Notamacropus eugenii: one gene and its partner. The protein of the gene in region 1 purifies or fractionates together with the protein of each later gene. This does not show direct contact. Links are inferred from orthologs where the notes say so. Each region holds a gene or a part of one and is shown in the gene's direction. Other genes may lie near its edges.

The links.
Region 2: the proteins of CHD4 (region 1) and EHMT2 purify together in Homo sapiens (affinity purification with western blotting; 3 studies listed by BioGRID and IntAct, with this or other methods). This does not show direct contact. The link is inferred for Notamacropus eugenii from reciprocal best matches to the Homo sapiens genes CHD4 and EHMT2.

The regions. Positions count from the first base shown.
Region 1 is NC_092874.1:194,885,403-194,893,101, reverse strand, and holds the start of CHD4 (chromodomain-helicase-DNA-binding protein 4), read left to right. Parts: upstream 1-4,698; 5' UTR 4,699-5,416; intron 5,417-5,579; 5' UTR 5,580-5,657; coding exon 5,658-5,754; intron 5,755-7,699. UniProt on the Homo sapiens protein: ATP-dependent chromatin-remodeling factor that binds and distorts nucleosomal DNA. Acts as a component of the histone deacetylase NuRD complex which participates in the remodeling of chromatin.
Region 2 is NC_092873.1:85,598,135-85,605,867, reverse strand, and holds the start of EHMT2 (histone-lysine N-methyltransferase EHMT2), read left to right. Parts: upstream 1-4,725; 5' UTR 4,726-4,741; coding exon 4,742-5,024; intron 5,025-5,282; coding exon 5,283-5,504; intron 5,505-5,610; coding exon 5,611-5,882; intron 5,883-5,984; coding exon 5,985-6,069; intron 6,070-6,202; coding exon 6,203-6,261; intron 6,262-7,733. Other genes in the region: ZBTB12 (zinc finger and BTB domain-containing protein 12), read left to right, coding at 521-1,954. UniProt on the Homo sapiens protein: Histone methyltransferase that specifically mono- and dimethylates 'Lys-9' of histone H3 (H3K9me1 and H3K9me2, respectively) in euchromatin.

The DNA.
Region 1 (7,699 bases):
ATCCTCGAGGGCAGAGACAATTTTTTTCTTTATATCCCAAGCAATGAGCATAGTACCTTAAAATACCTTAAACACCAGGTGCTTAATAAATGTCTTTTTAATTGAATTAAACACTGAAAGAACAATCCTGTATCTTAGATATATGGGAGGGAATGGGATGGCTGTGGTGATATTGGGGGAGGGAGAAATTGAAGTGCTGAGAGAAACAGGGTTACTTAGGGATCCAGCATAATGGAAAGAATGGTTTTTGGTGAAGGTATTTGACAATCTCTCATGTTACCTTAGTGGACAAGCTGAACAAGATATGGGTTAAATGAGTTTGGTAAGGTGGATTCAGCGCTGGTAGAATGACTAGGACCAAACAGTGAAAAGTTGCAATGAACCCAATGATTTAATGACTTGAAAACAGATCTCTAGTGGAACATCCCAGACACCTGTCTTTGGCTCTGTGCTATTTAATATTTTTATCGGTCACTTGAAAAAAGGCACAGAGGGCATGTTCATCAAATTTATATGTGATACAAAGCTGGAAGGAGTAGTTAACACATTATATGACAATTGGGATCCCAAAATATCTCAATAGACAAGAATATTACGCTGAATATTAATAAGACACAATTGAATATGATACATTTTAAAACAGAATTTATTATAAACAATATCATGCATCAATACGACTATTTAAATATGCCTTTGGACTAATATTTAAATAAGTTGATTTCAGTGTATGAAATATCATTATAACTTTTTGGTTACTCCCATAGTCCATTTACTCTCTTTCACTTTTCCTCTTATATCATCTGGTCATTATGTGTGTTCTCTATTCTTCCGGTTCTGCTTTTTGTCACTTTGTATTATTTTATAAAGATCTTTCCAGATTTCTTTGTATACTTCACACTTGTCAGTTTTAATTGCACTGTAGTATTCCATTACATTAATGTTCCACAGTTTATTCAACCCTTCAATTAATAGGAATAAATCTAAAATCTTACACTTGAGTTTTTTAAAAAGGAGCTCACAAGTACAAGACAAAAGATACTTGACTAGTCAGAAGTTCATTTGAAAAAAAGCTAGAAGTCTTAAAGGACTGCAGGCTCAACATGGGTTCTAAGTGTGACAGACAACCATAAAAGCTAATGCTATCCTTGCTGCATTAAGGAGGCATAGTGTTCAGAAAAAAGGAAGTAGTTGGTACTCTCCTAGTTAGATGACATCTGGACTATTGTGCATCACATTTTCAAATGGATCTAGACAAACGAGAGCATCTCGAAGCAGGGTGATTTTGATGTTGAGAAGACTAGAGACTATGCCATAAGAAAATTGGCTTAAGGAACTACCAGTATTTAGCCTGGAGAAGAGAAAATTTGGTTAGGCAGGGTGAGATATAATAACTCTTTTGGGGTGTCATGTGAAAGAAGAATTAAAATTCTTCTGCTTGGTCCCAGACGATAGAAGTAGGAGCAATGGGTGTACGTTGGAGAGACAGATTTAGGCTTTCTGTAAGAGAAAGGCTTCCTAAAAATTAGAGCTACCTAAAAATGGAATGGTCTGTCTTGACCCGTAGTGGGTTTCCCCTCACATGTAAAGGCAGAACCCTGACCTGCCAGGTCTGGTGCAGAAGGGGTTTGTGTTCAAGTGCTGATTGGATTAAAGATCTGGGGAGGTTCCTTTTAACTATGAGATTCTGTGACTGCTCTGTCTTTGTGAAGAAGAAATTGGCAGAGAGAGAGAGAGAGAGAGAGAGAGAGAGAGAGAGAGAGAGAGAGAGAGAGAGAGAGAGAGAGAAAATGAGACCTTGTGGTTTGAGGGGCTTAGAAGAGATATAAATGAAAGTTGTGGGAATGGAAAATAGTGTTGCTAGTTTTCCATCAGTTGTCAGATTGGATAAGAATACCTGTGTGTAGGAAAACGAGCTTGCAATTAAAGGAAAGGCTATATGAATTAACAGCCCATTATGAGAATGCATTTTGGTGAAGTAAGCCCTGCTTCTAACCATTAATATCTTCCACAGAGTTTAAATTCCAGAGGGCAGACTTTCTGAAATCAATATAGAGGCTGAGAAAAAAGTGTTTGTTTAGGGTGCAAAGCTACTGAAAGCTCATTGAAGACAAGAAATCCAGACCCTGTTTATTTAGGGCCTGTTGGGGGGGAGGCAGGGGGAGGTTTTTCAGACAGAAAGGAAAAGGTTTGATGAAGTATGGAAGAGAGGCCCATGGGAGTGCTGGACCTCTAAAAAGCAAAGGGAACTAGGGGTAGAGGTGGGGAAGATCTTCTAGGCACAGTTTCCAGGACAGAGGGTGGGGACTATCTGATGACAAAGATGGCCACTTTGTATAGTAGGTAGAAGTGTCACTTGTTACAATAGCTCTAGGGTGAGAAAGTTTGATGGATGTTGGTGGTGGTTGGTGCATGTGAAGAAAAGGATGGAGAGTAACAGAATATCCTGGGAAGTCAGGGACAGATAGATAGGGTTGGAGGATGGACTAGTTGAATGGGAATAATGGAGCACTATGGGATATCATAAAGGGAAAGTCATTGAAAAAGCATTAAAGATGTAATGTGTAATGGGACGATATAGCATGTTATGGGATTTTGGTGAGTGTCCTGAGGAAAATGTTAATATTTTAGGATTCAGGGGAGATGAATATTTCTATAGTATGAGATGTTTCTTAATATCGCTGACAGGCTACCTTAACCCAACTGTAGATGAGGCCACTCTGGCACCTCCCTTGGGTGACAGCCATCAGGGACTTGTTACTGGAGATCAGGACATTGTCCAGAATAGTTGAGATTGGTTTATGTGATATTAGAAATCTCAGCTGAGTAGTGAAGTTATCTCTCTTTGAACTCCTACAGTGTTTTGTACCTCTCTGGTATCAATTTTGTCACATATATTATAGCTATTTATGTCCCTTTCTTAACCTCTACTAGATTTTCAACTTTTTGAGGACAAGCAAGGCATTTTGGTGATCCTTCCAGGGCCTAGCACAATGTCACAGCAAGCACTCAATAAATATCGGATGAATGAATAAGTGCACTATGGGATGTGGGTGAGCAGTTAAGTACCTGCTCCTGGGCAGGTGGGGGGGTCAGGCCACATAACATAGGAGTTGCTGGAGCATGTTGATGAACAAGTACCCAGGGCTTGAGGATGGGAAAGAGAACTAAGTGGAGCTCCATATGATAGCTTTTGCACTGATCCCTGTGAATATCATGGGGAAGTCTGAGAAAGAGGAAGCTCCATGAAAACGGTCCATCCACCTGGACGGCTCACCAGGGGTGGGAGTGGAAGCCAAGCGTTTGGCATCTCCAGTTTCCAATACGTCTGGGTGGGGCTCCAGGTGGTCTCCATAGGAGAGTCAGGAGGCCAGGACCTGGGACATCAGAGACTATCACTCCAGGATACAGTTCTGGCTCAGGATGGGGCGAGGTGTGTGTGTATGTGTGTGTGTGGGCAGACTGGACAGTGTGGGTAGCCTTGCCTCGCCCTCCCTGTTCCTGATGATTAGTATGGACTGTGTGTCTGGAGATGGGGGAGGTATGAATGTGAGTATTATGGGCTGCCTGGCTGGAAGAGTATGGGGGGGAGAATGAGATATTATGGGATGTGACACTAGGTTGTTTCTGGGAGTATTATGGGATGTCTGGCTGCCCAGCTGCCCCTGGTGTTTATTATGGGATATCTGGGTTGGAGTGGGAGAGTTGTATTATTATGGGATGTCTTGAGGGAAGAGGTGATTAGATGTCCATCTGTGGGGTGACAGTGAGGGTGCTGATCATTATGGGACATCTGCATATAGGGGAGGGGTGATTATTATGGGCTGCCAGACTACAGAGTGAGTGTGTAAAGGATGAGGATGATGGTGGTGAGACTATCAGAGGACACTAGCCTGGAGGGGCTGGGGGGAGCTACCATGGGGTTGGTTATTATGGGATGTCTATATAGAAAGGGGGAGACTGGTTATTATGGGATGTTGTGTGGGAAGGGGCCCTGAATGGCCGTTGTTGCAGAGGGCGAGGGTGGATATTATGGGATGTCAAACTGGGGGTGGATGGAGGGTGGTTATTATGGGATGTCTGTTGGGGGATGGGGGTGAGTATTATGGGATGTAAGGCTGAAGTGCTGGGAGGGGTGGTTATTATGGGATGGCCATGGAGAGGGAGGGGTGAGAGGGATCATTATGGGATGTCAATCCTGGGGGGTTAGAGTGGGGAAGTTGGCAGGAGAATGGTTATTATGGGATGTTTGGGGAGAAAGGGTTGAGTTGCAAAGGAACTGAGTATTATGGGATGCCCCTAACTCTGGCATATATGTATATGGAAGTGGGGGAGTCCACGAGTATTATGGGATGTCCGGGAGGTGGGCGGTTGCTCCGGTGACACGCGCGCGCGAGCGATGAAGGGGCGGGGCCAATGGTTGCTGGGGCGACGAGGGGGCGGGCGTTGCCGGGGAGATCCAGGGAGGAAGGTGGAGGGTGGGGGGAAGGGGACTGGGGAGGGTTGGAGTTGGTTGGGGTTATTATGGGCTGTCCGCGGGGGGGGGGCGGGGCTTGGGCTGTGGGATTTCCCGGCCGGTGTTTCGGGCCCTTTAAGAGGCGAAGCCGGAGCCGGAGCCATTTTCCCCCCTTCGGCCGCGGCGAGGAGGAGCTGGAGTGGGAGCGAGAGCTACAAGAGCTGGACCCCGCGGCTCCGGGGTGAGGAGGGGGCGGGGTCCCCAAGGAAAGACCCCCTTCCAGAGAAACTCCCCCGGGGGTCCTTCCCCTGTCCCGCAGAAAGCTCGTTCACACCTGGCTGGCGGCCCCCCCCTCCGAGCCCCCAAGGGCCCGAGGAGAGCAGAGCCCTCCCCCACCCAAGGCTTGGAGGCGCCTCCTCGGGCTCCGTGGGCCCTTTCGGCCCCCCAGGACAGCGGGGAGGGGGCGGCTTCCTAATGTGTTAGGCGCCTGCCCCCCCCCCCTGCTGCCCTTTGCGGGCTTGTTCCCCGGGACACGTGGCCTGGCCCCCCTCCCCAGGTTAGCCTGCAGACCCTTTCCCCCCCTTCTCTCCCCCGCTCCAGACCGGGCTCAAGTCTGGAGACTCCACCCGCCCCCTTCCCTTGGCTCCCTGGAAAACCTGAAGCGCTCCCGGGATCAGCTGCCCTCAGTGGGCACTGACCCCTCCCGGCGTCCGGGAGCTGGCCCTTCCCGCCCCCCACTGACCTTCCGCCTCCGAGAATCGCCCCTCTCGTAGCCCGCCGGGCTCTGGCCCCTTCTCCTTACGGCCCTCAGCTGTCCTCCCACAATGCCCGCTTGGCCCTGGAGGAGGGAAGGGCCCCTTCCTTCCTGCCCCTGCCCCACCTCTGGCCTTAGCCTTCCTCACGGGGAGCGAGGCCCATCCCGGACCCTTCCCCCGAAACGCTGAAGAACGAAGTTCAGTTCAAGTGGGTTTTGCCGTCTGGCCCAAGTGGCAAGGGGGGGTTGGTGGGGTGGTGGGTGGAAAGAATAGGTGGGGGTGGGGTGGGGGAGGGGGACAGGGACAGTGCACGTCACTGACTGTTCTCTCTCTTTCTCTGTCTCTTCCCCCCTCCCCCCTCCTCTGCACAGTGACTCGGGCCAGCACAGAGGGCCCCAGGCCGGAGGCAGGAGCAGCTGGGCCAATTCCCTGGCCAGGAGTGGAAGGGGATGGCTTCAGGCCTGGGCTCCCCATCCCCCTGCTCAGCAGGCAGTGAGGAAGAGGACATGGAGGTGCTTCTAAACAGCCTTCCCCCACCCCACCCAGGTAAGTGCTCAGAAGGGGCCACAGGCTGGGAAAGAGGAGGCTTTGGGGCCTTCCCCTAGTGACTGTTGGGGCAGGGTTGGGTAATGCCTCTCTTTGCAGGATCTGAGGTGGGAGGGTATCTAGAGGGAGTGGTTCAATTCTTCTGAGCTCCCCTGTAAAAAGGGTGATGGCAGCCATGTGTTTCTGCCTTGGGCATCATGGATTGAGGTGTCTTGGAGATGACATTTAGTGCCCATCTGTGCCCATTTGTAGGGTCTGAGCTCACGGTGAGATGAAGATTTTGCTCTATGTGAAGCTTAGAATGAATAGGGTGGCAGTAAGCTTAGGTTATGGTCAGCCAGTGCTTTGTGACTTGGCCTTAGGGTTTTGGGGCAGAGTGGCCAAGCTTCCCTGAAATCTAGTGGGGTCTTGGGGGTAGGGGTCAGTGATGCCTTGGAAAGTATAAACAGGGATTGCTGGGTTCTCTTATTCAGTTTATTTTTAGCCAGTGATCAGTTACCGGTTTTCTGTTCTCTCTGCTGACTGAACTGTGCAAAGTTTGAATCTCGCTCACAGCCGGGATATGGAGCACTTGCAGCCAGGCAAATTGCTGGAGTGTTTTGGTTGGGGAATGAAAGCTGAGGGAATATGTTAATGATCTAGAAGACAAGGTTTGAGGGTTTGGGGAGCAGAGGAGCTCCCCCAGTACATTTGAGTAGGAAGGAATTTTTTTTAAAGACTTTCCATCATTCTTTTTAGGGAAGGAATGTTTAACAGAAGACTTTGTGTCTGGGAAAGTATGTTTATCTTGGTGAAGGGGGAGAGGAAAGTATAGAGGTGTGTTATATGTGTTTGGGGTGGGACTTTGCACCAGGCAAATTGAAGTAGTCTGATTTATCCTGTGCTTTTCGGAGATGGTACTGACCAGTCCTGAGGAGCAGAGCTTTAGTTCACTGCTCAGATGGAGAGATGCTGTATGCTTGTCTTGTCTTCTCTCCTGCCCCTAAACTGGCCTTTTTGTTCTCCTACTTGTTTTCTTTATTCCCCATCTCAGATTTTCTTATCCTCCCTATTGTCTATTCATGAGAACTTTCTTCTTCTATTGGATCTTGAAGTATCAGAGAGACAGTGTAGTGAGCCCTGGAATCACATTCTGTTGTTAGCTGTGTGGCCGTTAGCCAGCCAAGAAACCTCTCTGAGCCTCAGTTTGGTCTTCAGTTAAATGGAGAAAATAGATGTGTAGAACCTACTTCACAAAGTTATTGTGAAGTTCAAATGAGAAAATGTATGGAAAGTACTTTGTAAACCTTAAAAGTGGTATATAAATGTTAACTACTGCTTTTGTTATCTGAGCCAGCCATTCTTGCATTCCAAAGGCTACTGATCTTGCTTAGGTTCCCCAGTGACTATCTTTTTTATTTTTAATTTTCTTTACTTTTGACAAGAACTGGGCTGCCTTAGAAATGCTTCTAGATTTGGGGCTAAGTTGGGGTCACGGATGTGTGTAGTGGAGCCTCTGCTATACCCTTCATAGTTGTTTGGGTAGATGTTAATCCCTATCTTCCCCTGTCCTTTGCTTTAGTCTGGTATAGTGGAGGGCCAAATTTTGAACTCTTTTGGTTCATGTAGGCTAGGGTACCATATAGTTGTTGTGTTGTCCAAGGAGGCAGGGTGGTCCTATCCTTTTCTTGACAAACGGTAGAGTTGCCCTGTGGTCTTGGCCCAGAGGATAGGTGAACCATAGGCAATTATTCTCTTTTCCCCCTCTGTTGGCCCCCAGGGCTGGGGTTGTTCCTGTCCTAGCTGGAAGCTGTATAGACTCCCAAGATGAACTCTGCCCCAAGCTGTTCTATGACCCAGTTTTTCCACTCTGCCACACCCCGTTCCTGTCCCTTTCCCAAATCTTCCTCCAGATCTCAACTAGTATGATGTTGGCCAGGTCAGCACATTCTTTGCCTGAGAGGTT
Region 2 (7,733 bases), on another chromosome or scaffold:
TCAGGGGGACAAGTTCTGCGGAGCAACTGGGCCCCGAGGGTTGGGGGGCAGGGGAGTAACGTGCTGGGGTGGGGATGGGGGGGCGTGCGCGGCACGTACGGGTGGGGGGTGCCGGGAACGGGCGCGTGTAAACGTGCCCAGGGAGGCGGGGAAAGGGCGAGCGTGCCCCTGACAAGGGAACCCTCAAATCCCTGCCCCTCCCCCCTACACACCTCTCAAGCACACCTCCCCCCTCTCTTGTCTGGGCCCCCAGTTCGTGGGTAGGATGCTTGGGGGAAGAAAGTATGCGACCTCCGCCCCTCGTGGGACTTCGAGTTCCCTCCCCTCCCCCTGGGATGGGACGGAGCCCAAACTGAGGGGTAGGGGGTGGTCTGGAGAAGAAAGTAGCTTGCCTCTGCCCCCGGGGAGCGGGAAAGAGGTGAGAGTAGGGGGCCGAGGCTTGGGGAAGGGGGAAAGACCGGCTTCCTAACTAATTTGCCCTCCACCAAACACAGGGAACTCCCCCAGCCCACCCAGTACCATGGCCTCTGGAGTGGAAGTCTTGCGATTCCAGCTCCCAGGACATGAGGCTGCTACCCTTCGAAACATGAACCAGCTTCGGGCAGAAGAGCGCTTCTGCGATGTCACCATTGTGGCCGACAGCCTCAAGTTCCGGGGCCACAAGGTTATCTTGGCAGCTTGCTCCCCATTTCTTCGTGACCAGTTTCTCCTCAATCCCAGTTCAGAGCTGCAGGTCTCGCTAATGCACAGTGCCAGAATCGTGGCAGACCTCCTCCTCTCCTGCTATACAGGTGCTCTGGAGTTTGCTGTCCGGGACATTGTCAACTACCTGACTGCTGCCTCTTATCTCCAAATGGAGCACGTGGTAGAAAAATGTAGAAATGCCCTGAGCCAATTCATTGAACCCAAGATTGGCCTAAAAGAGGATGGAGTCAGTGGAGGGATTGGATTGACTGGGCTCAGCTCCACCAAGTCACTCCTCCCACCCGCTCGAACCCCTAAACCAGCTCCCAAACCCCCACCACCACCTCCTCCACCTCCTCTTCTCCGACCAGTGAAGCTAGAATTTCCCCTCGATGAGGATCTTGAGCTAAAGGCAGAAGAAGAAGAAGAGGATGAAGATGAGGATGTATCAGATATCTGCATTGTCAAGGTGGAATCAGCATTGGAAGTGGCACAGAGGCTTAAGCCCCCTGGAGGCATTGGGGGGAGCCTTGGGCTTGGAGGGAGCCTTGGGCTTGGGGGGAACCTTAACCTTGGAGGGGGTCTTGGCCTTGGAGGGAGTAGCGGACTCCTCATCAATGAAGTTGGAGAAACTATTGATGCCCCTGATGATAGCACAGCACCCCAGGGAGTGGTGAAGGCCTGCTATAGCCTTACAGAAGATGCGGAAGGGGAGGGTCTGTTGCTGTTTCCTGGAGGTCAAGTAGGGGAGGGCATTACCCTTGGGCTGGGAGATGAAGCCCTAGCTGCAGCCACTATGTCCCGGAGCAGTGGAGTTAGTGGGAGTTATGGGGGCATGAGGAGTCCTATACCAGGGGGCTCCCCAGTGGGAAACCCACTGAAGAACATCAAGTGTACCAAGTGCCCAGAAGTATTTCAGGGTGTGGAAAAACTTGTGTTCCATATGAGAGCCCAGCACTTCATCTTTATGTGCCCTCGATGTGGGAAGCAGTTCAATCATAGCAGCAACCTCAACCGTCACATGAACGTTCACCGAGGTGTCAAGTCACACTCCTGTGGTATTTGTGGCAAATGCTTTACACAGAAGTCTACTCTACACGACCACCTCAACCTTCACTCTGGGGCTCGACCCTACCGTTGTTCTTACTGTGATGTGCGATTTGCCCATAAACCTGCCATTCGTCGACACCTCAAGGAGCAGCATGGCAAGACCACAGCAGAGAATGTCCTTGATGCCAGTGTGTCAGAGCTCAATGCCCTCCTCCACTAGCTGGAGGAAGGATAACTAGGGGAAGGGGTGAGGTGAGATTGCTGGTAGAGGGGGGTGATGAAAGATTCTCTCTCCAAAAGGGGAGGAAGTTTGAAGGGGAAGGGGGCTTTTCTGTTTCCAGGAGAGTTAACATACATCTTGGGGTTAAAGGCAGAGGTCTTAACAAAAGAACAGCTCAGGTCTTCCTCTGAGAATAAGAAGGGGTTAAAAGACCTTGCTGAGGAGATTAACTAACCATTCCTTGGGATGATGAGGAAAGAAATGGTTCCTGTTTTCTAGGATAAAAGGGCCCAGGAAGAGGGATGGCTCTTTTCTGGAATAAGTAGATAATTGAGGTGAGGATGGTGTGCAGGGTGTAAGTAGTAAAAAGGGGAAATAGAAGATGGTTTTATCATTGGGTAAGAAAGCTATAGAGAAGACAACTCAGTTGAGGTAGGGTGGGTGGGAATTGGGAGGGTATCTTACCAAAGCTATACCTGTCCTTGGGTGGTAATAGAACAGGGGAAACCTCTTAAATTCCTGGGAGAGCAACTATTATGAGGAAAAGGTTAACAAGTCCCAGGGAGAAAGGGTAGAGAATGTCTTTTTTTGCATGCGAGGGAGGAGGGAAGGGGACTGGGACGGGCTTTTGTCTCAGGAGACAAAAAGTGACAAATGGTTATAATATGAAAGAAAAAAGGAGAATGGAAGTAGACTAGAAAACAAATAGAGGCAAAATAAGAAAAGTCAGAAGTAGTAAGGGTTGGGGAGGGGATATGGGGAGAAAAGGAAAATACCTAGAAAAAGGCTCTTGGGGAGGGGAGGGAAAGGGTGTGGTAGAGACATAATGGTATTTTTTAAGGAAACAGACATATTTTTCAGGAGTTTTCTGGAATCTGAAGTCTCAGTTTCCGCTTTTCCACAAAATAAAAAAAAAATTCTTAACGTTTGTTGTCTGAGTCTGATACTTCCTTTTTCCATTCCCTAGTTTTCCATTCTGAGCATCCTGGTACCTTCAGCCAACAGCTCTTTCCTAAGAATACCCTGGCCTTCCATCTTCTGCTTCTGTTGAGTTTCCTGTGCCTGTCCAGTGTTTTTAGTCACCTCCTGGTCTCCTCACCATGTGGGCAAAAATCATGTAAACCCGTTTCAGCAGTACTTTTCAAAATTCTAAGTACTCTTCATTATGGTGAAGTCGGGCCATTGTCTTTCAGTCCCAGCTCTTGTCATTATCTAGCTATGAGAAGGGGCATCTGAGCCTATTGCTTCTACAAAGTGAGAGGATTAGACTACATCAGGGCGTTCTCAAATTGGGATGATGGTCTTGGATGGGGTAGAAATGTATTTGGGTTTTTTTCCCACTAAGCTCAAACAAACAGCATTTCCTTCAATTACGAATTTTAAAATTTTTTCTGGGAAGGGATCCATCAGCCTCACCAGTCTGCCAAAGGAGTGTCCATGACGCCCCCAAAAAGGTTAAGAACCCCCGAACTAGATGGACCCTGGGGCCCTTCTCCAATACTACTTCGAGTCTGCGAGTTGGCGGAAAACTTTAGAGGCGGCTCGCAGCTTGTGCAAACTACAGCTCCCAGGAGGCCTCAGAGGCGGCCCCGGGTGCCCAGTGCCAACCCACAGAGCCCGGGGCTGTGGAGTCCTCCGGGTTCGAGGGCTGTAGTACAGGCTGCTGAGGCGGGGCGTCCGTCTGTGCTGGGACCGCGGCGTCTGTTCTTCTGGTCGTGATGACATTAGCGAAGTTGTGATTGAATTAAGTTCTTGGAGAGATCCGTGGACGGCCGGGCGGGATTGGAGTGGTCTTTAACTAAGCCCTAATTACTCACAATAAGAGCCGGGAGTAAAAGCCCTAGGTAAAGGGGAAGAGCGTCTCGGAGTACCCCCATTCCCGCCTCCAGGAGCAAAGGCTTCTCTCCTGCTCCTGCCCGGACCGAGATCGGAGGCAGAGGCACGGTCCTTCCCCTTCCCGGGACACCCGGACCGGACGAACCGCGGCTCGGGAGTTATTGGGCAATAGACTCGCACCGCAGCGGCGGCCCCCGCCCCCAGTCCAGACACTCCGGCAGAGCGCCCGCGCTCGCCCCCCCATGGTGAAGGCTGGGGCGGCCAGATCGAAGTGGCCTCCGAAGCGCCCCCGCCAGCCCCATCCCGGGCATCCTCCGCAGCCCTCCGGGATCCTATCCCGGGAAAATGGCAATGGAATAGGCCACGGCTCCTTTAAGGGTTCTCTTCCTCCTCCCCCCTTTCACAACTCCCCCATCCCCCCCCGGCCCACGTGACCCGGGCGGCCGCGCGCCTCCTGGGCCCCCCGCGCGAGCGGCTATGGCGGCGGCGGCGGGAGCTGCAGCGGCGGCGGCCGCCGAGGTGCGGAAGGGGAGGGGGGGGAGGCGGGTGCATGCCCGCCCGCGCGCGCGCCCGGGGGAAGCGCGCACTCGTGCAATGCTCCGGGGGTGCAACGGGGCCGGGGGGCCCGAGCCGGGCTTGCAACAAGCCGGGGGGCCAGCGCCGGGGGCCGGGGAGGGGACCAGGGGATGGGAGGCGGGGGAAGCGGGCACGGAGGTGCGCGTGCAGCCGCTGGCCACCCCCGGATGGGCGGATGGAGCCGGGGTCCCAGGGGCACGCGCACGGGGTGCGCGGGGCAGGCCGCCAAGCTGGGGGGGAGTGGGTGCCGGGGGGGGTGTCGCGCGGGGCCCCCGCGGCTCCGGGGACAAAGGGGGAGCGTCTCGAGCACCCGGGAGGAGGGGGCGGGGCCGGGGCGCATTGGCCACGCCCCCTCCCCTCCTTTCTGCTCCCGGGATGCGGGGGCTACCAAGGGGGAGGGGGTCCCTTCGGACCCGGGGGAGAGGGCGAGGGCCACTTCCTGGGAGTCGCGGCAGAGGGCGAGGGGCAACCCATCGGGGCCGGGGACGGGGGCGAAGCCTGCTCTCTTCCGCCCGGACCCAGGCGTCCTGGGTTCCTCTGCCCCCAGCCGGGTTGACCAGTCCCCCTACCCCTTGTCTCCCCTCGCAGGGGGAGGCCCCTGGTGAGATGGGGGGGGCGCTGCTGCTGGAGAAAGAACCTCGGGGAACTGCAGAGAGAGGTAAGCATACAGTGTATACAGGATGTCTGCTCCCCAGCCCCCTCTTCTTCCCTGTTGTGAAAGCAGTCTGCTTCCCAATACCCTCTTCTTTTTCCTATCTGGAACAACCTGGCAGGATGGTAAGTTGCCCTTTCCCCTTAGATCTCTTCCTGAAAGGAATCATGTTCCCCAACTGTGTGTGTATATGTCTGTGTGTCTTGTGGGGATCTTGGTATTCATGACACCCCTCACTCCCCAACCTTTCTTTTTTCTTCTCAGGTCTTAGCTCCTCCTCAGGAGATAAGTCTCCTGGAGAGGAGACCCCACCCCAGGACCATCCCGAGTCTGTGGAACCCACTGGCCCCTCATCTCCTGCCTCAGTCACAGTGACTGTAGGAGATGAGGGTGCTGACACCCCAGTGGGGTCCACACCCCTCATTGGTGAAGAGCCAGAGAGTTCAGAGGGAGATGAGGGCATCCACAGTGGTAGGATGTTGTTAGGTAAGGATTTGGGAGAGCTTGAGGTTGGGGAATTCAGGGAGCAGGGAGAACTGGGCTCTCAGGTCATACCGTTTTCCCTCCTCTCTCTCCCAACCATGTTGTCCAGGCCATGCCACTAAGTCCTTTCCCTCGTCCCCCAGCAAAGGGGGCAGCACCTGCCCAAGCCGGGCGAAGATTACCATGACAGGGACCGGGAAATCACCTCCCTCAGTCCAGAGTTTAGCCATGCGGCTGTTGAGCATGCCTGGGGCACAAGGGGCTGGGGCTGGGCCTGAGCCTGCCCCTACCCCGACCCCTACCCCCACCCCCACCAGCCCTGAAGGGAAGCCCAAGGTCCACCGAGCTCGAAAAACCATGTCCAAACCAGGGAATGGACAGGTAAAGGGCATGTGCAGGGAAGGGAAGAGGTATATCTTGTAATAAGGAGCGGGAGTTGGGGGGAAGAGGGGAGTCTTATCTTCCTTTCTGTGTATTCCCTAGCCTCCAGTCCCTGAGAAACGCCCCCCTGAAGTTCAGCATTTTCGAATGAGTGATGATCTTCACTCAATGGGGGATATGGGAACAGGTATATCCTTCAACCATAGATAGATTCTAGCTTCTTTCTCGCCTATACCATTGGGACAACAGTTAACTTTGGTTTGGGGTATCAAAAATCTTGCTTAGGTTTGAAGAGAAAAACCTTACTTTATCTCTTCCAGACACTGCCAAAAGGAGGAAGCTGGACTTGGGAAGTGCAGGGTCCCACAAGAGAGGCTTGGTAAGGCTGCATCAGGGACTGGACCAAGGGGCAATAAGGGAGCTAAGAACAGAGTGCCAGCATCTTTGAGAGGAAAACAAGTACTAAAATGGAGTGGAAAGAGGAGAGAGGTGTGGAAATAGAATATTTTAGTTCCTTAGAGAAGAGATTTGCTAACAGGACAACTCAGCTGGAGTAAGGCTGGGGAGGGGAGAGGTACTGACTCTTGGGTGGTACAAGTCTCTAGTATTTAAAACACTAAGGTGCCTTTTTAAGTGCAAGGTACACAGGGTGATACAAAGAAGAAAGATAGTTTCTGCCATTTAGGAGATTTAACCATGTCTATCAATCAATCAACGTTTATTAAGCTCCTACTATATGTCAGGCCCTGTACTAAAAGCTGGGGATACAAAAAGAGGCAAAAGAAAGTCCTTGCCCTCAAGGATTTTATGGTCAGTGAGGGAGACAACATGTATACAAATATGAGTTATATACAGGAGAAATAGGAAATAATTAACTGGGGGAGGGCACTGGAATTAAGAGGGTTGGTTAAGACTTCTAGTAAAAGAGGGAATTTTAATTGGAACTTAAAGGAAACCAAAGGGGAGGTCTTTAGAGCGAATGATTGGCCTGGGGGACAGCCAGAGAAAATGCCCAGAGCCCACAGAAGGAGTGTCTTGTTTGTAGAACAACCAGGAGGCCAGTGTCACCGGATCAAAGAATATGTGTTTCAGATTAGGGTGTAAGAAGACTTACAAGAGCTTTGAATGCTAAACAGAACATTTTGTATTTGAACTTGGAGGCAGTAGGAAACCACTGGAGATTGTCAAGTTGGGGGGGGGGGGGTGACATTATCAGACCTGCGCTTTAGAAAAATCACATTAGTGGCTCAATAGAGGATGGATTGGAGGGGGGAGAAAGGCTTGAGGCAGGCTGACCCAGCAGTACGCTCTTGTAATTGTGTAGGCATGAGGTAATGAGGTCCTATATTATCATAGTAATAACTGTCAGAGAAGGGGCATATACAAGAGTTGTTGCAAAGGTGAAATTGACAAGGCTTGGCAACAGATTGGATACGGTAGAATGAGACATAGTAAGCAGTCCAGCTGACTCCTAGGTTGTGAGCCTGAGGGACTGGGAGGATGGTGTTGCCTTCTATAATAATAAGAAAGGGGAAAAGGGGGAAAGGTGGTTTGGGAGAAACGTAATGAGTTCCATTTTGAACATACTGATTTTAAGGTGTCTACTTGACATCCAGTTTGAAATGTCTGAAAGACAGTTGGAGATATGAGATTGGGCATCAGCAGAGAGATTGGGGCAGGAGAGGTAGATTTCAGAATGACATTGTTATAGAGATGGTAATTAAATTCATGGGAGTTAATTAGATCACCAGGTAAAGTAGTATATAGAAAGAAGAGGGGCCGGGGACAGAATCTTGAGGGAAACCCTAGAGTATGACATGGAAGTGGATCCAGATAGGTAGGATGAGAGCC